6 linked regions of the Rattus norvegicus genome follow. The protein of the gene in region 1 purifies or fractionates together with the protein of each later gene. This does not show direct contact. Links are inferred from orthologs where the notes say so. Each region holds a gene or a part of one and is shown in the gene's direction. Other genes may lie near its edges. The genes, in order: Copg1, Nudcd1, Copb1, Arcn1, Cope and Copb2.

Region 1 (4,222 bases):
GCAGAGAGAGGAAAGAGGGGTGGGGGAGAAAGAAGGGGGAAGGTGGAGACCACCCCTCCTATTGTAGTATCCTCCCAGGCAAACATGACTTTTGATTAATAGGGTGTGCTTCCAAGAAGAAGCACGCAGACATGGGAACCACATTTTTATTCTAACTCAGGTGGTGACATTGTCTTTTAGTTTTAAAAGAATCCCAGTGGGGTTGGGGATTTAGCTCAGTGGTAGAGCACTTGCCTAGCAAGCGCAAGGCGCAAGGCGCAAGGCCCTGGGTTCGGTCCCCAGCTCCGAAAAAAAGAAAAAAGAAAAAAGGGAAAAAAAAAAAAAACCCAGCAAAGGAATTTAAAGGGGAAAAGGTCAGTCACATTAATCTGAGAGTAGCATGGCCTTTTTACAAAGTTAACAAAATTTTTACTGGGTGTGGGTATTTAAAATTTTGTATTAAAAGTCTTACAAGGCGGAGGAAGATAAACAATATTTGGATTCCTTGTCAAAACACAAGTTTTACAGTATTTAGTAGAAAAGACTCATTTCATAATTTTCACAATTGAACCAGGTCCTCAGGTTTGGCAGCAAGCACCTTTATTTACCAGCTGAGCCACCTCATTGGCTCTATTTTTTGAGGTGGAAGTCATGTAGCTTTGGTTGGTGCCGGAAGATGGCCTTGAACTCATCCTTTCTCTGCCTCATGAGTGCGGAAATTACAATGTCCAGTTATATCTCAATTTTTTTTTTTCCGGAGCTGGGGACCGAACCCAGGGCCTTGCGCTTGCTAGGCAAGCGCTCTACCACTGAGCTAAATCCCCAACCCCGTATATCTCAATTTTTAAAGCACAAGTGTACATAACTCTAATATTCATTGGCTTACAAAACTAGACTTTGATGGAATCGGTTCCTTGGCTAGCAACGGGTGCCCTTTTCCCCCTTCGCGCCCCGTCTCCCGCCTACGACGACCCCCCTGGCACAATCCTTGGGGACAGTGAACTTGTCCGAGAGCAGCTTCCCAATAAATTTGCCTTTAAAATATTCTAACCTGGCTTGTTGGCTCATTTCACCGGCGGCGTAAAAATAACCTATCAGTGAGACTTCCGGAAAATGACAATAAAGAGTAACAGAGAACGTTTATGGGGTCAGCGTGCTGCAACTCTCCCAATCAGAACGCCCTTTAAATTCAGCCGGCAGCAACTGCAAAGACATCAGCCACCGGAACACACGGGGGCGCAGAGGCGGAGCACCCGCAACAGCAGGTCTAAGGCCCCGCCCCATTGCTCAGCCACGCCCATTTTCCTGAGTCTCATTCCTAGCCTTCCGCTCTCCTCCACTCAGCTAGATTTTGACTGTCTCCGGGCAGGCAATGAAGGTGTAACGTGGAAGCAGTTGTGCGCAGGCGCAGACGATAGAGTGCGCAGGCGCAGTCCAAAGAGCAGTGCTCAGGGCGACGTGGCGGGCGGGAGTACGGAAGCCGCTGGGAGAAATTGATCTCACCGCTACCCTGAGCATCTTTCTATTGCGTGGAGCTACCGCTGGCACCATGTTGAAGAAATTCGACAAGAAGGACGAGGAGTCTGGTGAGGGACCCTTGAAAGTGTTGGGAAGGCCAGATCCACGCGGGGATTCACGCGACCTTTCTAGGCTTCCTTCTTCCGGGCCTCTGTCAGAACAAGATTCGAGGCCAGAGAGGGGCAGGGGCTTGTGCGCAGGTCCATAGCAATTCTTGGAGAAGACGTGCTGTTTGCACTCTCCAGTTCTGGTCAGAATTGATGCGTGACCTTGTGCGGGTCACGCACCTCTCTGGACCTCAGTTTCCCCATCTTGTCAGAGGAGGTTCCAAGGATGGGTGCTCCCTTGTATTCCACCCGACCTCTTGGTATTTGCCAAAGCTGCGTTGGTTCTTTGCCTATCTGGGTGCAACCAGTCCAGCAGTTAATAACCCTGACTGTTTCTTTCACTCATTCAATAAACTACATCAGGAACCTCACTGATCCTGATATTGCAGTACCTAAGGCAAGTGCGACACTAGATGCCTGCAATAGGAATGTTAGGATGGTCACATAATGGAGGAGCCAGACAGTAACCAGATAATCACATGCATAATTACTTAATGTAATATCTGCTGTCATCTCAGTCACAGGTCAGTTAGTGTTGGTTGTCCCTGGCACATAGACTCACTTAAGTTCTGGTTGTACGAGTCAATGCTAAATGTTATACCTTGAGAGTCACAGAAAGAATGCTAGGTGACTGTGAGAGGACCTTGACTGCCTCTGGAAGATGATATAGACTTCCTTCCCGTCCCCGTGTTTGGCAGAATCTTGAAATTTAGGGTCCCAGTTTGGGGCTGTAACAGTTGGTAGAGTGCTTGCCTAGCATGCATGAAGCCTTGTGTTTGATCCACAGCACTGCGTAAACCAGGAAGTAGAGGTAGGAAGATCGTCCTCTGCTAAAATTTGAGTTCAAGGCTAGCATGGAATACGTGAGACGCTGTCTCAAAAAAAAAAAAAAAAAAAAAAAAAAAGAAAAGAAAAAGAAGGAAAGAAATCTATCCAAGATCACAACCTGTAATCAGTCTTCTCTGTTCACTGTAGGTGGAGGTTCCAACCCCCTCCAGCACCTGGAGAAGAGTGCAGTACTCCAAGAGGCAAGTTCCATCATACCTGTGTCTGGTCAGGGATGCCTGCCAGCCCTGCTGTCAGACACTAACATACATAGAGTGCTGGTTTACAGAGCCTGGGCCCAGGAAGGTGGGACCTACTAATTATATTGCTAAGTGTGACTAGTACGAGGGCAGCACAAGCAGAGACTTGGGGTATTACCTAGTCATAACGTAGATCAGTTAAGAGAAATAGGCTCTCCCCACTTGAGAATACATTTGTGTGGACTGACACACCCCGTGGTTCTCTAGGCCCTTCATGAACTGAGGGGCAGCTGTGGAATGGAAGTGTACTAGGCTAGAGGTAATGGTTGCTTCTTCACAGGCTCGGGTCTTTAACGAAACTCCTATCAACCCCCGGAAATGTGCCCACATCCTCACCAAGATCCTTTACCTCATAAACCAGGTAACAAGATGGGGCTTGGCAGGGAGTACAAGGGGGACTGTGTAAGTGGGGATGTACCCTTAAGCTTTCGATTGACAGCTCTGTGATTGGAACCAACAGTCTAGCCCTGGGTCCTCTTAAGTTTCCAGCTCTCATTTGTTGCTTGTGCTCCAAAGGTCTAGCCTGCTGACCTCCTGTCCAAACCTGCGTCTTTTCTGATTACCACAGGGGGAGCACCTGGGGACCACAGAAGCAACTGAGGCTTTCTTTGCCATGACCAAGCTCTTTCAGTCCAATGATGTAAGTACGTCAATCTGCATGTCTGCAGATGTGACGCCTGTGACAGGGTAGCTGGCAGGAGGACAACTGCCTTCCACACAGTCAGGCTCCTCTTGAGTCAGGTCCTCTCCCACTGAGCAGGACTGATAGGGTCTTCTCCATGTCTTTTCCAGCCCACACTCCGCCGAATGTGCTACTTGACCATCAAGGAGATGTCCTGCATCGCTGAGGATGTCATCATTGTGACGAGCAGGCATGTCTTGGGCAGGGGTGGCTCCTCTGGTGGGACCCATTGACAGAGACAACTCGTACAGCCAAGGGACTCCTGACATCTGGCCTGTGCCCTGTCCTCCTAGGCCCACCCCCTGCCAGCCTCTAGAGTGGTCTGCTTCTTTCTCACTTCTCTGGCCTTGCTTCTCTTCCTCCTCCTTAGACGGCACAACCAGTGTGGAGCTTTCAGAGAGTCTTTAGTCAGTGCTAAGGAAAAGAAAAACAGATGCAAGAAATCCTTCAGAACTGGGAGTCAAAACTGGACATGGTGCTATACACTTGTACTTACAGCGTTTGGTAAAAACAGGAGGATAGCTGCCAGTTTGAACCTGCTTGGGCTACATAAGAAGATGTCACCAAGAAATAAAATAAAACAACACCCCCCCCCCCACACACACACACCTAGTTCTTTTATTTCTTATTGACATTGCTAGCCAAGGAGAGGGTCCATACAGCCAGTTTCAGGTACATTGATACTTACTGGGGCTGGAGAGATGGCTCAGTGGTTAGAGCACCAGTTGCTTTCCTAGAACCCACATCAGGAGGCTTAAGAGCATCTGTTACTCCAGCTACAAAGGACTCTGATGTGTCAGAGGGCACCATACTCAGGTATACATACTCACATGCAGACAGATACTTACATT
Region 2 (3,992 bases), on another chromosome or scaffold:
ACGAAAAGTGAAATAAGATAATGTGATTTACTCATCAATTACAATTTATGGGGAATTACAACTGCTACCCTACCACGAATTTCAAATTAGTCTTTGAGAAATTCTCCATTTTAAATAAAAACGGCCAACCAATGCCAAAATCAGTGTAGGCAGGGAAAAAGCAAGGCTAACTTATGAGAGCATTTTTGCCACTTAAAAGTTTAAGATACAATCAGGTTAAAGTTAATGTTTTCCTACTTAATGTCACTAACTTGAGTACTTTTGTAATTTCCCGTCTTGTCTGTATGAAAACTCAGACTATAAAGAATTTTCAGAGTTGAACTACGCCAAGAGGCGGGTGAACGGAGGGTTAATAACTAGGCAACGCTTTACTTCTGTAGTTGGGGCTTAACATTTTGAAAATAACTGCAAAAGTTTAGACCGTACCATACCAAGAACAGCAAAACTTCGTCTCGTCTTGGCCCCTAAAACCACGGGTAGTGACCTTGGGCAAGTCACTTAATTCCTAAAGGCCTCAGTTTTCTCACTGGTAAAACAAGGGCGCTAGGGAATCCCTCCCAGTTCTGACATTCTTTGGGAAAATGAAACACGCCGGAGACAGCTGGAGAGGCGGGAGGGGAGGAGCCAGAAAACAAAGCGAAGACTGGCTCCAGGCCAACTCCAGCAGCACGCCCTGTCGGAGAGCCCTACAGGCCCGCGAGCGCGGGTCGGGGAAGCTAACGAAAGACAGCACATCGAAAGGAGCCTGGGCTGGGCCCGGGTCCCGGCCCTGAGGACCACGGGCATAGCTCACCACCATCACCGCGGGCGAGGGCCGTCCCTTCCCAGCGACGAAATGACCCTTGCGCTGACGACCGTTACCTACCACACTCTTCAGCTGCCCGGACTTAGACCCTCAGTAGCTCGGGCACCTAAGCACACAGAAAGCTAGACCACGCATTTCCGGGGCGGGATCTGGCCACCCTGCCTATAATGTGAGAATTCAACTAGCGCGGGCCGCCTTCTGGTCGCTCGGCCCTCTGGGTAGGGAAGTCCAGAGTCTGCTAAGTGGCGAGTGTTCGGTTGTCAGAACACTACATTCCCCAGCATGCAACGGAGTCAGCTTTCTCACGGACACTACATTTCCCAGAAAAGATGTGGCGCCGCAGAGTCCTCTGGGATGGGAACCACGCCGCTCTCCCAGCCTCAGTTCCAGGAGTGAAGCGCGAACCTTTCAACAAGAGCTTTATTGATTCTCTTGCTTGGATCCGGCAACGCGATGGAGGCGGCTAATTGCTCCCTGCGGGTGAAAAGACCCCTGCTGGATCCCCGCTTCGAGGGCTACAAGCTATCGCTCGAGCCTCTGCCCTGCTACCAGCTGGAGCTTGATGCAGGTGGGATCGGCGGCACCCTCTCGCACCGGGTTCCTTCTCGTTTAGGCTGCCATTGGCGCAACCCTCTGTCACTCCGGCTAGCCAGTCACGTCCTGTCGGTCTGCACCTAGAGCGGCCGTCCACGCGGGGACCCCAGGATGCCCCCATTTCTTTCCGCGCTTTAGCAGCGGGACTGTGGACTGGCCTAGGCATCTGTAGCTCAGGCTTAGATGTTTTCTGCCCATACATCTCTGGCCCTTGCTACGAAGGTTCAGGTTGTCCTTCCCTCCCAAACCACCTTTTGTAAACGTGTCCGCTGAGAAGCCACACCTCCTTGGAAAATCCCCAACTACCTTTTTTTTTCTTCTGACGCAGAAACATTTCTTGGAGAGAAAATTTTCCACATTCAGTTAGCAGTTTTAAGTATCCTGATACATAGAACAACGCCACAATTTATCGAGGGAAAGTGATTTAGTGCGCTTACTGCTCTTGCTTATTTATTTGTAACTTTCTAGAGGCTATTCGCCTTTTTACAACGTTAAGAATTGTAGTTTTGTTAACCAAAGTGTCCAGAGATTCGTGTTTTTAAATACAGCCCTCTGTAGATTCTGATTTTGATACACGTTTTCCATGGGTTGCACTTTGAGAAATAGTGATCTAGAGGTGTTAGTCAATAATGTATTAAGCATTCCCTATGTATCTATCTGTGTATCTTTTCTATAGATACAAAGGAGTCTGCATCCTTGACTGTCCTGGCACTTGCTGTGTAGTCCCGACTGGCCCAGAACTAACAGATGTCCTCTGTGCTGGGATTAAAGGCATATACCACCAAGCAGCCCAACAAATGCTTGTTTTTCTAAGTTTGTTTCTTAAGTATAGAAGTAATTATTGTGGGCCTGTTTTGTGTTTTCTTCACGATGATTAGGTGATTGGCACAATCATGAGTGCCTAACATATCATAATTCATTCAGGAATAAACATCTATTACAGTATGGGCAGGTAGGAACATGACCAAGTGTAAATGGTCTAACGGAGTATGCTTTCTCAAATTGTCTGGAGATCTGGTAAAGCTTCCAGGAGGAGTTGATGACTGAGTTGAGTTGTGAAGGATAGGCTGGTAACTGATGGCTGGTATAAGAGGAGAGGAGCTTCCAGGAGAGGAGCTTCCTTCTTTTTCCTCTTGGCATTTTTGTTGCTTTTGTTTCTGTCAATAAATGACCCCGCCATGTTCAGTTGGCCAAGTCATTGGAAATAAAACACAAAGGACCAAACCCTAATGGGCCAAACCAGAAGGTACTCACAAATGTGCAGGTCAGCAGGTCTTCCTCACTGCTTATTCATGTGTCTTTGCTCAGGTACGGGCCGGTCGAGGCAGGTCTAGTCATCCTGATTCCACCATCTACACCATTTGCTGGCTCTTTGCTTGCTCCAGCATTTGTCAGATGATCTTGACTTGAGTCTTCCACAGGCTGCTTGCAGGAAGTCAAGTCACAGTGCACATGCTGTTTCAGTGGCTTTAAAACAAATTTCCACATGTTCTACTGGGCAAAGCAAATTAAATAATCAAGTCAGGAACTGCTGTTGGCAGACCCTAGCTGAGGGTATAGATCCAGAGTGCTAAAAGTTGGGACAGTGAAAGTCTAGGAAGTTAGCAATTACTCCGTGTCAATGTGAAATCAAGGTACTAAACAGGTATCATTCCCAGGTTTCCTTGGGCCTTTGTGTAACCCCCTCCCTGCTCACACGTAGTCAGGCAGTGAGAATGCTTACTCTCATCCCGATGTCTCTTTATTTAGTGCCACCATAAAATGGTGCTGCCCCCATTAAGGTCTAGATAGTCTCTCATAGGTTTTCTCAGAGGCATATCCACTACATGATTTGGAATCCTATGAAGTTGACAGCCAAGATTAGAGCTGTCTACTTCTGCAAATTTCATTTTCTGTACAGCTGTAAATGCATTTCATATGTGTGTATGTGTGTAGTGTTCCTTTATTCCTTCATCTGTTGATGAACATCTAGATTGATTCTGTTTCCTAGCTTCTGTGAACACAGCAGCGGTGAAGGTGAGTGGACAGAGATCTCAGTGGTAGGATAGAGACCCCTTTAAATATATGCCCAAAAGTATAGCTGCTGGGTCATAGGCTTTGGAGAAACCTCCATATTGATCTCCGTAATGGCTATAAGTAGTTTAAATTTCCGCTAGCAGTAAAAAGGGATCATCGGTATATGTTGTCCTCTCATTTCTTATGCATGACACTGAATCTCAAAGTAGGTTTAATTAGCTTTTTTCCTGATTGGTAAGGATGTGAAGCACTTGGAAGCTATGCAGTGAGGTGTGTTTTAGTTTTTGTAGTTTTTTCTTGTTGTTATATATAGTTGGCTATTAGCCTTTTGCCTGAAGTAGAGCCGCTGAAGAGCTTTCATTCTGTAGTCTGTCCTTTCATTCTGTTAATAGTTTCTTTGGTGTTCTGAAACATTTTAATTTTACATCATCCCATTTCTTAGTTCCTATGGGTACTTCCTGTGCTGATAAAGTTTTGTTCAAAGTTTTTTTCTGCCTATATCTTGCAGTGTAAGCCCTTTAATTTCTTATAGCCATTTCAGTATTTCAGGTTTTAAATTAAGATCTTTAATGGAGTT
Region 3 (3,590 bases), on another chromosome or scaffold:
AACTATGAGAATACTGAACTATTTGTATGTCTAGTGTAGTACCTGGCCCATTATAGCTGAGATATATATATATATATATATATATATATATATATATATATATATATAAACAACAAGAGACAAAGTGTACCTGAGCCTAAGGTCTAACTCCTAAGTCCTATCGCTTACCAGTTCTGTAACCTGAGGAAACTTATTTGACTTACCTGCTTTCCTAATTTGTGAGATGGAAAATAGTAAGGTAGGATTGATGGCGCTATTCAGTTGGTAATATTTATAAAGCACTTAGAATCTAGTATATATAAATATTTGCTAATGTCATAAATATTTGTTATTTTGAACTAGCATCTACCCTTTTGATCGGGACTCTTTATGTTTATTACAGTTTATGATGTCTCTGGAGCAGCAAGTGACAGAAACTGTGTGGTCCTCAGTGACATCCACATTGACATCATGGACTATATCCAGCCTGCAACTTGCACTGATGCTGAGTTCCGTCAGATGTGGGCCGAATTTGAATGGGAAAATAAAGTTAGTCGTTGAGAGGTTTCCTATGCAGTTCTTCCTTATGACTAGTGATGAGGGTTTTTTTAAAGTCATTCCCCCCAAAAAGCATAAGAAGTGAGAAGCAAACAGTTCTTCATTATGTGTTCCTGTGTATTATCTTAACGAGAAACCATGCAAGTACTTTGGTAATTCCGTGTGGTGAATGGCAGTTCTTTTTGGAATCTTGTGATGGTATCTTGCTCTCTAGCCTAGTCAAGTCTCCAGTGCCCAACCTTCTTGCCCATGTCATCTTGGCACAGACACTAGAGTGTGCATCACCACACCTAGCAAGTCATAACTCTGTAACTACTTTGGTTGAGACCGTGTAGACAAGATCCCTCCTGTGCTGTGTCGGGATGATAATCTACCATTGGCTCTCGTATCCTCAAGGCTGTGCGAAGTCTGTGGCCCAGTGGGAAACTTTGCCCCCTAAGTTTTCTGTGAACTCTGTGTCTCTTTGACGGTCTAGGGAGGTATCTGTCTGGAAGCCCTGCCATGCCAGCTGCTTTCGTAGCAGTCATTACTTTTTTATTGCCCTTCTTCCCTCCATAGTTGGCAGAAAGCTGTAGGATGAAATGGCTGTGACGCACAGTTTACTGAGTCCTCTCCTCTGCAGGTGACAGTTAACACCAACGTGACTGACCTGAATGATTATTTACAGCACATCCTCAAGTCCACCAACATGAAGTGCCTGACTCCAGAGAAGGTAGGAGGAGGCTAGAAGAGGTGAAATTCTATAAAAAGTCTATAAAAAAAAGTTTCTGTTAATGCCATAATGTGCATCTTCCTAATAAGAAAATGTCAGCTGTCATCTGGGGTGTGTAGCTCAGTGACAGAATGTTTGTTTAGCAGCACGCACGCACGCACGCACGTACACATACATGGGGGTGGGGCCGGGGGCGGGGGTGGGGTGTGGGTTTACTGCCAAATTAGTAGATTTTGTAGATTAGTTTCTTCAACAGTTTTTAAGTCCAACAAAAGAAGCCTTTCTTTATGGAAGTTAAAAGCCTGATACAGGAGACAAATAAGTAAATCAGAACAGAATATGTAAATATAAATTTGAATAAGTACTCTTAAAACTATAGAATGCACAGGGAATTCTTAAATTTTTATACATATATTTATTTTGAGTTTTGGCAAACTTATTAGCTCCTATACCAAGCACCACGTAAGTAAAGTTTTAAGTAATAGTTTGCATGTATATTGAGTTTGCCAAGGTATTATAGTTCTCTAGCCAAGTACTGGATCTATCACACATTTCTTCCCAGGCCCTTTCTGGCTACTGTGGCTTCATGGCAGCCAACCTATATGCTCGCTCTATATTTGGAGAGGATGCACTTGCAAATGTCAGCATTGAGAAGCCAGTTCACCAGGGACCAGATGCTGCTGTTACTGGCCATATAAGAATTCGTGCAAAAAGTCAGGTAATAACATCCTTTTTTGAGAACATCTCTGCACCAAATAGAGGAAGAATTCATATATGTCTTATTTCTGTGATAAATTTCTTCTGTCATAATTATGTTTTGTGCCTGAGATAAATATATACATACATACATATGCATGGTATTTTCTGAGGTTTAATTCATTTAAAATGGCTTATCTACCATATTGCCTAAAACATCGATTCCTGAGTGATGTTTGTTTTTCTTTTTTCTTTTTTTTTTTTTTTTTAAGATTTATTTAACGTACAGCATTCTGCCTGCATATGTGACTGCAGGTCAGAAGAGGGCACCAGATCTCATTACAGACGGTTGTGAGCCACCATGTGGTTGCTGGGATTTGAACTCAGGACCTCTGGAAGAGCAGTCAGTGCTCTTAACCACTGAGCCATCTCTCCAGCCCTCTGAGTGATGTTTGTGAAACAGATTCTATAGAGTTGTTTAACAGATAAGGCATCAGTCTAACACAAACCAACATCACTAAAATCAACCAGTAAACGTTTTTGGAGTCTGTCTTTATATCCTTTGTTTTGTTGTTGAATGTGACGTCGTCATCCAATGGAGGCGTAGTTAGGCTGTGCAGCCTGTTTGGGCATTGTTTCAGTAATCACTGTTGTTGACTCTGGGAATGTAACTCAGTCTTGGGAATACTCTCCTAGCATGTGTAGACCATGAGTTAATCCCAACATCACAAAACCAGATAAAAATATAAACATCTTCATTCTTCTTTGCAGGGAATGGCCTTGAGCCTTGGAGATAAAATCAACCTGTCTCAAAAGAAGACTAGTCTCTAAGAATGAACAAACGGTCCTCGAAAGTGTAAGGTTAAAATTTAGGTGTGGGCTGATTGGACTCCGACGTTTTTGTACTCTTTCATGCTTTATGCTTGTAGAATTTGAGTTCATGCTGAATTCATTCCAGCCCGTAATTTATAGCCTTTCCCCTAAATCAAGAATGAGTTTAAAATTATAGTTTGTCTTTTATCTTAACAGTTCTGAATGCTGTCCTCAAAGTATATAAAGTTCCTCATATGTACCAAGACCATTTTCACAATAAACAGATCTGTTCATAAATTTTTGTTATTTTATAAATAAATTACTTAATTTTAGATTTGTATCAGTGGAATTTCTTCTTTTTTTTACCTGGCCTATATTTATGAAGAGAGTTACAAAGTGAGTGACCTAAAATGGAGCGGGTACTGGTTTAGTGCATTATTGTTCCCTCATTTTCTGTAATGACATTAGTGTCTCTAAAACTCTAGGGTCTCAAACTTTGCTTCAAGGAAAAAGTATCCAAATTACCTGAGAAAAGTGTCTTTGGCTTAAAGGAGCTGTAAGACTCTGACTGCCATACTATTCTTGATGATCCTGAATTATTATGGAAATTAGATCATCTAAAATCAGTGTGAAAATTCATGCACATTCAGCATTGGGTGTTTGTGCTTGTTAGTAATTACAGTGGCTCTAGCCAGTGACAGACTGCACTGGGAGGATTAGCTTTGGGGGATTCAGCAGCTGTTCCGTTTCCAAATGGCCTCTGTTTTTCACTCCTTCCCTACTGTTCATAACTTCACTGGGCTAAGCAACACACACCCCTCATTATGACTCC
Region 4 (3,500 bases), on another chromosome or scaffold:
TGATTGATGCCAAAAATAAGAGTGGCAGCCTGGAGTTCAGCATTCCTGGGCAGCCCAATGACTTCTTCCCTGTTCAAGTTTCTTTCATCTCCAAAAAGAATTACTGCAACATACAGGTACTCTGTTATAACAGAAGGCAGATATGGGAAAGGCAGGACAAGTGCCTGATAGGTAGCACAGCTTCATGTTAAAGCAGAAATCAAAGCCAGAGTCTTCTGCAGACTCCAGTCTGACTCATCATACTTCTCTTTTTTTTTTTTTTTCTCCTTTTTATAACAGGGTTTGCTTATGTAGCCCTGGCTGGCCTAGAACTTGCTATATAGACCAGGTGTCCCTCCTGGGACATAGTCATAGAGTTCTGGGTTGTTTTGTTTTGTTTTGTATTTTTAATCTTCTGTTTGTAAGGACCAGAAAGTTGAGTAGATAAAGAGCACTTACTGTTCTTTGTGAGAGCCCCGGCTTGGGTCCCAACATCAACATGGTTGTTTACAGCCATCCAGAACTCCAGGTCCAGTGGATCCAATGCTCTCTTCTGACCTCTGCAGGCACCAGGCACAGAAATACACACACATAAAGTAAAATAAATCTAAAAAGGAAAAATTATTTTGTGTGTATATGTGGGACCATGTGCGTGCCAGCACGTTTGTGTAGGTCAGGACAGGTTCGTGGAGTCAGCTCTTTCCTTCTCAGCAGCAGAGTGAGCACACACACCTCCTGAGTCATCTGCTGCTCTGACTCCTTCTATGGATAAAGTTTAGATAAATAAAATGTTTCATATAAGAGTACTTACTGGGGGTTGGGGATTTAGCTCAGTCGTAGAGTGCTTGCCTAGGAAGCGCAAGGCCCTGGGTTCGGTCCCCAGCTCCAAAAAAAAGAACCAAAAAAAAAAAAAAGAGTACTTACTGATTGTACATGATTCATGTACACTAAGTGCCTTCTAACCTCATGTATCTTCTTAAAGATTTATTTATTATATATAAGTACACTGTAGCTGTCTTCAGACACACCAGAAGAGGGTGTCAGATCCCATTACAGATGGTTGTGAGCCACCATGTGTTGCTGGAATTTGAACTCAGGACCTCTGGAAGAGCAGTCAGTGCTCTTAACCACTGAGTCATCTCTCCAGCCCTAACCTCATGTATCTTAAAGTCTATTTGCATATCCCTTGCCTTACTGTCGCTTTACCATTTATCCAGGAAATCAAAATACTTTATGTATTTAATAGTGCAGAAAATCCAACCCAGAGCCCCAGCAGGCTAGGCAAATGCTTTACCATTGGGTTGTACTCTTGGCCTTCGGGGTTTTTTTTAGACACAAAATTGCTGCATAGAATTGGAAAGATGGCTCAGTGAATAGTGTGTGGTTAGCATACCTCAAGCCCTGTTAAAAAATGTGATCTGAGCCTGGCATAGTTGCTCACACCTTTAATCCCAGCACTTGGGAGGCAAAGGCAGGCCAATTTCTATGAGTGTGAGGCCAGCCTGCTCTACAGAGCAAGTTCTAGGACAGCCATGGAGAAACCCTATCTCAAAAAAACAAAAGCAAACAAACAAAAAAGAAGGAAACACTATCCTGGGACTGGAGAGATGGTTCAGTGGTTAAGAGCACTGGCTGCTCTTCCAGAGGACCAGGTTTGACTTCTAGTACTTCTATGACAGCCCACCTGTGATTCCTGTGTCTGTGACTCCACTCCTAGCTGATCCAATGCCTATTTTTGGCTTTTGCTGTCACCAGACACAAAATGATGCACAAACATGAATGCAAAACACCCATACACCCATACACATAAACTGTAGAAAAAGAAGAAGGTCTTTCAACATAGTATGGTTTTGGACAGGAGACTGAGATGAATTTAATAAGTAATGCAGGAGAGGTAGCAGACTTATTTAGGACCAGAATGTTAATTGATCATCCTTATAGAATGTCTGGCTTTCCTGGATTTTATAGGGCAGGCTGAGCCTTGCCACTCATCCTGGCTTTTACCTGTGGCAGCTGCTGTCCGTCTTACTGTACCAATCAGTTTTCTCTAGAGTACAGATTAGATGATGCCACAAGGAACAAGTATGAGCTCTGAGTACATTTTGGTGTTTCCAAGGTACTTTTGATCCTGATTTTAGAGAATGTGATAAAATCTGTAATGAAAATGTAGTTAACATATCAGAGACTCACTGTTGTTTTTCCTCTCCCCCCTCCCCTCTCTTTGTTTTCCTAGGTTACCAAAGTGACCCAGGTAGATGGAAACAGCCCTGTTAGGTTTTCCACAGAGACCACTTTCTTAGTGGACAAATATGAAATCCTGTAGTACCAAGAAGAGAAAGCTGAAAAGCAAGGATTTCAGATTAATAAAGAAGAAGCCAAAAGTGGCTGAAGAGTTTTTCCAAATTTACAAGCCATTGGAGATCCCCTCCCCCCCTTTTTTCTGATACAGTGCACGTTCTCTGCGCGCAAGGACCCTCAACTCACACCCAGTGTTGTGGTGTCACAGAGACATTTTTGACAAAGACATGACGCTGACATAAAGGGAAAGGCTGCTGATTTCTTTGGCAGATCTTACTGGCCAGCAGGAAGCCATCTCTCCAGGGAATGCCCCAGTAAATAGCTCTTCTGCCTTCACCTAAGTCTCCCTTTATTTTAAGCCCTAAATACAGGTATATTTCATACTTTGTTTTACAAAGTTTTCTCTATAGATTTGAGTCTTTTACACTCCTTTGCTTTCTGTTTTCTTTCAGTACACTTATCACGCACTGGGGTCACCTGTCTGTGGGTATTGTCTTCAGCACTCTGAGAAGAAGGTTATCTAACCCATTCTTGACATTAGACAATGCCAGTGAACTGCTTGAGGGATGTGGAGTCTAAAAGTTGAAACACAAGGTTATCTTATTTTCTCTCCCATATCCATCCATTGCTCCATTTCTTTATGAAGTTGTTCCCTTGTAAGCCGTCCCCTTCCAGTTGCAGGCAGTACTGTGAATCCCATTCCTATCGATATTAAAGGTAGCTCGCTGAGAAGCAGCTTTTATATGGACACACCTTTTCAAGATGCGTAGTAAGATGGCTCCATCCATTTCCACATGTAATCATGTCTGCTGCTAATGCTACCCAAACTTAAAGTTCTCTACATGCTGTGGGACAATTGAGTTGAAGCATTGTCACTCAGGGTGTTGTAGTCCACTTAGAGTCCTTGTGTCCACCTCCTTCCCCTTCCCAGATGCTCTTCCCTTCATCAGTCTTTCCAGCAGAACTGAGTCTAGTGAGTCTGTGCCATTTCTCATTAGCCCTAATGAAGAGGCCCCATCCTCACCACCATTTGGTAGCATTTTGAGAGGCAGGGGATTATATTGGTGTGCAGTAAGGGGCTACTCAAATATACCCCATCTAACCTGACATTTCCCACCCGCCTCTCCGCCCTTGTTTCTGAAAACCTTTTTCTTCTCAGCCTTTTTGGTGTCATCATGTAATAATTGTAGGAGTTTCTCGGCTCATTTTGATCCTTTACCTTT
Region 5 (4,158 bases), on another chromosome or scaffold:
TACAGTTTATTAGAGTTACAGGTGAGTAGGAGGTGCTGGGCCCTTCTCTCCCTTAGTTGGTGGCTGGCACCCGCATGTCTTACAATTCTAAGACTTGGAGACTTACAGGTGGTCTGCTATGTGACTGAGCCTATGATTATAAAAGGGGGGCAGTTTCAAGCCCCAAATTATTCATTAGATAAGAGTTGGGGCCCCAATGGACCAATGGGGTGGGGAATTTGGGAAGGGGGCAAGCCCTGCAGGATTGGGGGGAAAGCTTCGAAAACTTGCTTGAAATCAGTATACCAGTTACTTTATCCTTTTTTCAATGCCAGCACCCTTTTCTGCAGAATAGAATATTAAAAGCTGTTTTATGTTCACTAATCCCTTGAACATCATCTAATTTCCAACAGTTATTATGACTGCTTGTTTGAAACAATTTTTCAAGTATCCCAGGCTGGTTTGCAACTTGCTACACAGCTGAGGATTATCTTGAACTCCTGATCCTCCTGCTCGGTATTGAGATGACTGAGATGAGAGATGACCACGTTCGGCTCCAAGGATGCCTCTTTAATGGCAAAAGTGAGCTGAACTGAAGAGCACTGACACAAACACGGAGCCTGGAGTTTGACAGCCTCTGTTTCTGTTTGCTACGTCAAGGCCAGTTCTACTCCCCACCCCCTTTTTTTTGCCCCAGTGCCACGTTTTAGTCATTCACCGAACTCTCCCTAATGCTCGGGTTCTACGAAAATTTCAGAGGTTCCATCCATCACCTGTATGACAATGCACACGAGTCAGTCGAAGCCTAAATGCCAATGCTGCGGGTCAGGATCTCTGAAACACCCAATGCTGTCCTGATTCGTGGGACCCGGGGTAAGGAAGAGGGGACAAAGAAAGGCATTAAAAGAGAGTCAAGGACTCACCTTCCAGGATGGCCGGGATGCACCCGAGCTGCACCGGCGTGGGCTGCTTCAACCCCAGCTGTCGACACTGTTCCACCAGCCACGACGATAGCCGGAGCTCAGCGAACCCCGCCATGCTTCAGACTAGTGTAGAGAACCTAGTGGTGAGCACTTCCGGCGCGTGAATGGTACATCACGTCCACCCGGAGCAGTCCCGCCTGGGAAAGTTGTGAACGAACCCTGGCAGATGAATGTGACGTCACGGAGAGCCACTGCGCAGCCACCCGCTCCAGATCCCTCAACCAATCCCAGCTTCGACCGCTTTTCAGTGTTTTGGTCCTGAAAACCTTGTGTTTGTTCATCGAATCCGATCTATAGTTCTCGGGAGGCTTTGCATGGTTTCTGTTTCAACGCCTCCTATTGGTCCCATAGAACTACGTTTCCCATAGTTCCCGGCGGCAGGTCCCTGCTTCCGGCCTACGTGTCTCCCAGGAAGAAGACCGGTTAGAGGGGTGGTGACATGGCTCCTCCGGCTCCCGGCGCGGTCTCTGGCAGCTCTGGAGAGGTAGACGAGCTGTTCGACGTGAAGAACGCTTTCTACATCGGCAGCTACCAGCAGTGCATTAACGAGGCGCAGCGCGTGAAGGTAGGCAGCGTGCGGAGCAGTTCTGAGGTTTTGGTCGGCGGACTCGGTTTTTCTTATAGTCAAGGATAGTTTTGAACTTACTGTGTAACCGAGGCTGACCTGAAGTCCTACGCCTTCAGTCTCCACCCCTTGAGTGCTAGGCTGACAGGCGTGCACCCCTGTGCCCAGCTTCCAAAATTTTATTAGTTGATTGATAGCTCAATTCGTAGCCCAGGCTGACTTGAAGTCAGGGTAATGATGAGGTGACAGGTGTGCGCCACTGGCTCTATCTTGTAACCTCTTACTATTTCGTTTCTCCTCACTCCCCTTTCATTAAGTGTTTAGGCAGGCATCGTGGTGCACGCCTTCTATCCCAGCACTTGGGAGGCAGAGGCGGGCTGATCTCTTAGTTCAGAGTCAGCCTGATCTTCATGAGGGGTTCTAGGTCAGTCGGATAATACTGTAATCTGTCTTAATAACAGTCTCAAGCCAGAGGTAGTGTCGCGTCTCTTAAATCCCAGCACCCAGAGGCAGAGGCAGTCAGTTCTCTGCGTTTTAGGCCAGCCTGACCTACATAGCGACTTCCAGGGCAGCCAGGGTGCCACAGAAAAATCCTGGCTTGGACTGTACCCTCCTCGCCCTCCCACCCCACCCCCCCAAAAAAAGAGAAGTCCGATTATAAATGAAGACAGTCTCCTTTAGCCCAGGCTGGCCTCGAATTCCTCATCTTGCTGAAGAACACTGAATTCTTGATTTTTGTGCTTCCACTCTTGAGTACTGGGATTGCAGTGTGCACTGCCAGCCCCAGTTTATGCAGTACTGGAGGTGGGAAGCACAGCGTTGATGCAAGTGTTCTACGGACTAAATCCCAGCCCTGGCTTTGTTTTATGTTTTAAACAGTCGCACGTAGCCCAGGCTGTCCCTAGATTCAGCAGTCTTGCCTCAGCCCTCCCAGATGCAGGATGACAAGCCTGTGCTTGTCTTTAGTTCATTAAAAATGGGAATTGTCTGCAACAGCCTGTGTTGTTGACAGGATCACCTATCACTGATCCCTCTCTGCATGTGTGTGGAAAACAGCATTCCTGCTGGGCTCAGTGAGAGACAGAGTTGATGGAACTCCAGGCTTTCTAGGTGCAGTAGCCTCGGCAACAGAGGCCAGGCAGGCAACCAGGAAAGTGGTAGTCTCAGGCCTGGCTATTTTGACTGTGAAAACAGCGTAGCATTCCAGGGTCAGGGCATGATGGGCTGGAGTGTGGCTAGGGTAAAGTGTGTAGAGTAGTGTGTGGAGGTTTGTTCTTACTGGTCTCAAAGCTCTCTTTTCTTAAGGTTCTGGACAAGCAGCACTTCCTAGCTTTCCCAGCGGCTCTGTATTCACTGAAGACATCTAGCTCCTAGAAGGTTCTCTCTAGTCCCAGGCTCTTCTCCCATCTCAGAACAGCCAGATGTGGCGTCCTGTCATCCTTAGGACCTCTTCTATCTCCCTTCCCATAGGTCCCTTTCCTCTATGTCTCTGCTTTTAAGGACTTATGTGGTTAGGTGTAAGTTCCTGATTCTGGACTCTGAACTTTAGGGATGCGGGACAATAAATGTTTAGTCACCAGTCATTGACCCAGCAAGCTACTTCAGTGACTCTCTGTGATACCGGCATCTTTCCTTCCTCTCCTTATGCCTTTCAGGTTTAGGGAGACATCAAGACTCTTGTGTACTGGTCAGATGCCCCACCCTATGTCCTCGCCCAGTGTTGGTTGAAGCTTGTGCTCCCTCTCTCTCATCTTCCCTTTTAGTACCTACCACAAGTACACAGCAGCCCCACCTCCGACATCAGCCAGCCCAGTCTCCCTGGGGCCCTCAGCATGTCTCATAGTCCAGGCTGGTCCTTCTGCTGAGTTCCCAGGATCTCTTCAGATAGCATGCAGGTGGCCTGGTCACCATCTGTTCTTCCAGGCAGGGAGAGCTCTAGAACTGTAGGTGGCTTGAGGCAGGGCCTCTCCCTGCTGCAATTTCTGGCCACATGAGAGCTGCTGGTTGCTAGACTGCAGTGATCAGGGGCCCCTCGGTGTGTGGTCCAAGCTCCTCCAAAGGCTGAGGCAGGAGGATCATTAGACTCTGTCCTGGGTGCTAACTAAAATAAATGTGTGTATCCACCGACCACAGAATGGCCTAGCCTGTGTGCCCAAAACACAGTATATCATCACCCTGTCCTCACCCCAGGTATCACACCCAGGAGGCCGAGGCTGGAAGATTTCAGGTAGTTCATGATCAGCCTGGACTCTAAACTCAGTAGGACTTTTCTGGGCTGGGGCATGCAGCCCTGCTGCTGCTGCAGCCATATGGCACTGTGCCCTGATACCTGGGGTGATGACAGCCTCATTGAGATAAGATCAGGCTTTTTACACTGTGCCCTCTGTGGAGGCTCCTTTGGGGCTTCTGGGCCTCCTGGATTCCAGCTAAGGCCCTGAGCTATTAGCCTGAGTGCACCAGGGAAGCTCCCAGCAGGCTCCTCAGCCTCACTCAACAAATCTCCTCACAGCTGTCCAGTCCTGAGAGAGAAGTCGAGAGGGATGTCTTCCTGTATAGAGCATACCTCGCACAGGTGAGTGTGGGCCGCCTGGGAAGGGCACAGGTACTCTGCAGGAAAGCTGTGGACAGTCA
Region 6 (3,500 bases), on another chromosome or scaffold:
CTCTTTAGTTACTTCTTCATAACTTAATGTGTCTATTCTTATTAACATTTCAAGACGCTGGTGAAGACCTTTGAAGTGTGTGATCTCCCTGTTCGAGCTGCGAAGTTTGTCGCAAGGAAGAACTGGGTGGTGACAGGAGCAGTAAGTAGCTCTGAGTATCAGATCCTACCCTCTCATTGGCCAGTGGTCATAGATACTAGTTACAGAGTTGTAATGCCTGGTTCATTAAGTTAATTAAACGTAGTATTCTGATGGTAGGAGGCTATACCTTGAGCTTGTAATACAGTTTAGTTGTGTATACAGTTTATCTCATATAGTGATGCTTTAAAATCTCCATTCCTAGGATGATATGCAGATTAGAGTGTTCAATTATAACACCCTGGAGAGGGTGCACATGTTTGAAGCACACTCGGATTACATCCGTTGCATTGCTGTTCATCCCACCCAGCCGTTCATTCTCACAAGCAGTGGTAAGAGACAACCTGCCTCAGTCCTGTGCACTGAGTAATGATTTGCTTCCCGAGACATGTTGTGCTTTAACTGCAGTGGCAAATGGAGCTCTCACTCCAAGCTTCTGTTAAACAATTTGAATCCATTACTGTGCTGTTGGTGCTGCCCACCTGTGTATTTTAGTATTTTAATAGGATTATATTGCAATTGCTCTAATTCCTGATGGAAAATTCGAAGGTCTAGAAGCATCTGTATCTGGGGAGCAGAAAGCGCATTAGAATGCTGATGAGCAGGCTGTTGGCAGATTGCCACAGGCTCTGTTGGTTTATCTGCATATGCAGACTAGCTAGCTCGCTCCCTGGTATTAGTGTAAAGCGACCCGCAGGAGGGCTGTTACCTGGGTATCCCTGAGTTGGTAGTAGTCTTTGAAATATTTATAAATTTAACAAGTGAGAACTTCTGTAAAAGCAGTTTATCTCATCAGGCAAATTCTGCCTCTTTCCACAGTCAGCTTTTTTAGCCAGACTTAGCCGGTAACCACTGGGGTTTTTTTGTTTGTTTGTTTAATTAAATTTAAGAAGTTGTCGTGTTTTTTGTATGTCTTTAGTAGCTGTCTATATGCACTTTGTCCGCACTGTTCTGTAGTCAGTATGCTCTGAGGTCAGGTAAGGACTTGAAGGACTTTCCCAGTATTAGTTCTATGGCATAGGTACTGGGACTGTGAACTATGCTACATGTGTTACCTTAAAACTCACTGAAACTGTCTTATTACAGAGATGAAAACAATCCACAACTGACTTGGCTCTCTTTTGGTATAGATGACATGCTTATTAAGCTCTGGGACTGGGACAAAAAATGGTCTTGTTCACAAGTGTTTGAAGGACACACGCATTATGTTATGCAGATTGTGATAAACCCCAAAGATAACAATCAGTTTGCCAGTGCCTCTCTCGACAGGACCATCAAGGTAGGTGTCCACTACGTTGGTGCGTTACTCTGGCTGGCCAGAAAGCCCCTGTGCTCCTGTGCCAGGCAGAAGCAACGCAGTAGAACATTGGTTTCCACTCTAGGATCTACAGTTAGAAGCACTGCCACGTTTCTAGGACACGTGTGTGTGTGTGTGTGTGTGTGTGTGTGTGTGTGTGTGTGTGTGTGTGAGAGAGAGAGAGAGTGTGTGTGTGTGTGTGTGTGTGTGAGAGAGAGAGAGAGAGAGAGTGTGTGTGTGTGTGTGTGTGTGTGTGTGTGTCCTTTAGTCATTCTTGTCTCCTCATCACTGGTCTGTTTTATATTTAAGTTCTTTCTGTTGCCATCCCCTCTTTCTGCCTCTTGCTGTGGACTGCTTGTCTTCAGGGTCTGTTTTGTTTATTTCCTGTTGGAGAATAAACTACAGATGTCTAAGAGTGAAATACAGGATGGTTAGGGCTAGCCTGGGCTGCTGATACAGACACCAATATGACTGACCTACTCGCTGTCCTCTAGCAATGCTCTGAGTGTTCACAGAGCAGTGCTTCATCAGCTCTCCCTCTGACTGCAGGTCTTTGCATTCTCGGATTTGAATTTATTTTTCTCTGAGCATCTTCATAGCTCTCTAAGGGTTAGCACAGATAGTCATTCTGAGAAAGTCCAGTCTAGCGCTCCAGTCTAGCGACTAATGGCTGTAGACAGAGTGTATGTCATTCCCTTTAGATTTTGTTTCTATTAACAGTCTTCACATTGAGTGATAATTCATGTAATTTAAAATCATTTATCCCTGTGATATCCTGGATATTTGGGATAGGAGCTGTGTCTCCCCTTGCACAGCCCCAAGGTGTTCTGGGAGAGTAGCACAGTACTTTGGCTCTACTGGATACTGACTATTTGTTGCCGTGAGTACAGTCAGATTTTCTCCATCCTCTCAGTACATTGACCTAAAATAAATTTCAAATCACATTACTTTTGCTTACACATTTGCTTACATGTATATAATATTTTTAGTAATTTAACTCATATAAGCTATTTTGTGTTTTAAGAGCTTCAGGTTTTTAACTTGACTTTGTTATCATTTGTTGAATTGCCCCTGCTTTTGACATAGATGGGAAACTGAGATCAGTTTTAACTTCTTCACTAAATTAAGTTTATCTGATTTTTTGAGTCAGGGTCTACAGTGTATGCTAAGGTGGCCTAGAATTTACTGTGTATCCACCCTACACTGGCTTCACATTCTTAATTCTCTCAGCTTCCCAGACACTGGGAACACAGGCGTGTGCCTCGCTCTCCCTGGCGAGCTCTTCCATTCTGACACATGCTACTCAGCACTAAGCTCCCATCCAATCAGGACCTAATTTAAAGTAGAGGTTTTCAAAGTGTTAATTTGTTCATTGATTCCTGCGCTTCACCTGTATACAGTTTTCTTAGTTTTCTTTCTGTTGCTGTGCTAAAACACTGACCAGCCATCATCCAAGGAAGTTGGGGAGGAACTCAAGGCAGGAACCTGGAGGTAAAATGAGCAGAGCTATGGAAGAACACCGTTCATTGGCTCGCTCCTCATGATTTGCTCAGCCTGCTTTCTTGGGTGGCACCATCATGCCTCCAAAGGCTTACTACAGGCCAGTCTGATGGAGGCATTTTCTCAGTTGAATCCCCTCTTCCCAGATAAGTACTTATGTCAAGTTGAGAAAAACATAACAGGGTCAACAACTGAACTATATCTATAATCTCCATGGAGAAGTGATTCTGCTTTCTAAAAATTATCATGAGACCAGAGCAAATATCCTGGAACACTGTGTCTTGGGCTGTGGTGTTTGATGTCTTGTGTTGAAAGCGGGGGAACTGCCTCTGAAAGTGCTGACTGGCAGATGCCTCTGTTCTCTGAAGGTGTGGCAGCTGGGCTCTTCATCACCAAACTTCACGCTGGAGGGACATGAAAAAGGCGTGAATTGCATTGATTACTACAGTGGTGGTGATAAGCCATACCTCATTTCAGGTGCAGATGACCGGCTCGTTAAAATATGGGATTATCAGGTACAGTTTCTATAACCTTCCGTGCTGTATGCTAGGCAGGTCTTCACTGC

What was found.
Region 2: the proteins of Copg1 (region 1) and Nudcd1 purify together in Homo sapiens (affinity purification with mass spectrometry; 3 studies listed by BioGRID and IntAct, counting the BioPlex papers as one, with this or other methods). This does not show direct contact. The link is inferred for Rattus norvegicus from reciprocal best matches to the Homo sapiens genes COPG1 and NUDCD1.
Region 3: the proteins of Copg1 (region 1) and Copb1 fractionate together in Homo sapiens (co-fractionation; 11 studies listed by BioGRID and IntAct, counting the BioPlex papers as one, with this or other methods). This does not show direct contact. The link is inferred for Rattus norvegicus from reciprocal best matches to the Homo sapiens genes COPG1 and COPB1.
Region 4: the proteins of Copg1 (region 1) and Arcn1 purify together in Homo sapiens (affinity purification with mass spectrometry; 6 studies listed by BioGRID and IntAct, counting the BioPlex papers as one, with this or other methods). This does not show direct contact. The link is inferred for Rattus norvegicus from reciprocal best matches to the Homo sapiens genes COPG1 and ARCN1.
Region 5: the proteins of Copg1 (region 1) and Cope fractionate together in Homo sapiens (co-fractionation; 6 studies listed by BioGRID and IntAct, counting the BioPlex papers as one, with this or other methods). This does not show direct contact. The link is inferred for Rattus norvegicus from reciprocal best matches to the Homo sapiens genes COPG1 and COPE.
Region 6: the proteins of Copg1 (region 1) and Copb2 purify together in Homo sapiens (co-immunoprecipitation; 8 studies listed by BioGRID and IntAct, counting the BioPlex papers as one, with this or other methods). This does not show direct contact. The link is inferred for Rattus norvegicus from reciprocal best matches to the Homo sapiens genes COPG1 and COPB2.

The regions. Positions count from the first base shown.
Region 1 is NC_086022.1:121,922,540-121,926,761, forward strand, and holds the start of Copg1 (coatomer subunit gamma-1), read left to right. Parts: upstream 1-1,422; 5' UTR 1,423-1,528; coding exon 1,529-1,565; intron 1,566-2,579; coding exon 2,580-2,632; intron 2,633-2,969; coding exon 2,970-3,050; intron 3,051-3,257; coding exon 3,258-3,329; intron 3,330-3,481; coding exon 3,482-3,561; intron 3,562-4,222. UniProt on the Homo sapiens protein: The coatomer is a cytosolic protein complex that binds to dilysine motifs and reversibly associates with Golgi non-clathrin-coated vesicles, which further mediate biosynthetic protein transport from the ER, via the Golgi up to the trans Golgi network.
Region 2 is NC_086025.1:77,477,776-77,481,767, reverse strand, and holds the start of Nudcd1 (nudC domain-containing protein 1), read left to right. Parts: upstream 1-1,192; 5' UTR 1,193-1,258; coding exon 1,259-1,373; intron 1,374-2,653; exon of another isoform or gene 2,654-2,855; intron 2,856-3,992.
Region 3 is NC_086019.1:177,838,251-177,841,840, reverse strand, and holds the end of Copb1 (coatomer subunit beta), read left to right. Parts: intron 1-382; coding exon 383-528; intron 529-1,159; coding exon 1,160-1,249; intron 1,250-1,811; coding exon 1,812-1,967; intron 1,968-2,716; coding exon 2,717-2,776; 3' UTR 2,777-3,090; downstream 3,091-3,590. UniProt on the Homo sapiens protein: The coatomer is a cytosolic protein complex that binds to dilysine motifs and reversibly associates with Golgi non-clathrin-coated vesicles, which further mediate biosynthetic protein transport from the ER, via the Golgi up to the trans Golgi network.
Region 4 is NC_086026.1:53,955,006-53,958,505, reverse strand, and holds part of Arcn1 (coatomer subunit delta), read left to right. Parts: coding exon 1-116; intron 117-2,212; coding exon 2,213-2,302; 3' UTR 2,303-3,500. UniProt on the Homo sapiens protein: Component of the coatomer, a cytosolic protein complex that binds to dilysine motifs and reversibly associates with Golgi non-clathrin-coated vesicles, which further mediate biosynthetic protein transport from the ER, via the Golgi up to the trans Golgi network.
Region 5 is NC_086034.1:19,156,238-19,160,395, reverse strand, and holds the start of Cope (coatomer subunit epsilon), read left to right. Parts: upstream 1-1,358; 5' UTR 1,359-1,401; coding exon 1,402-1,527; intron 1,528-4,036; coding exon 4,037-4,099; intron 4,100-4,158. Other genes in the region: probable ATP-dependent RNA helicase DDX49, read right to left, coding at 903-1,017. UniProt on the Homo sapiens protein: The coatomer is a cytosolic protein complex that binds to dilysine motifs and reversibly associates with Golgi non-clathrin-coated vesicles, which further mediate biosynthetic protein transport from the ER, via the Golgi up to the trans Golgi network.
Region 6 is NC_086026.1:108,047,187-108,050,686, forward strand, and holds part of Copb2 (coatomer subunit beta'), read left to right. Parts: intron 1-54; coding exon 55-141; intron 142-343; coding exon 344-470; intron 471-1,268; coding exon 1,269-1,417; intron 1,418-3,303; coding exon 3,304-3,450; intron 3,451-3,500. UniProt on the Homo sapiens protein: The coatomer is a cytosolic protein complex that binds to dilysine motifs and reversibly associates with Golgi non-clathrin-coated vesicles, which further mediate biosynthetic protein transport from the ER, via the Golgi up to the trans Golgi network.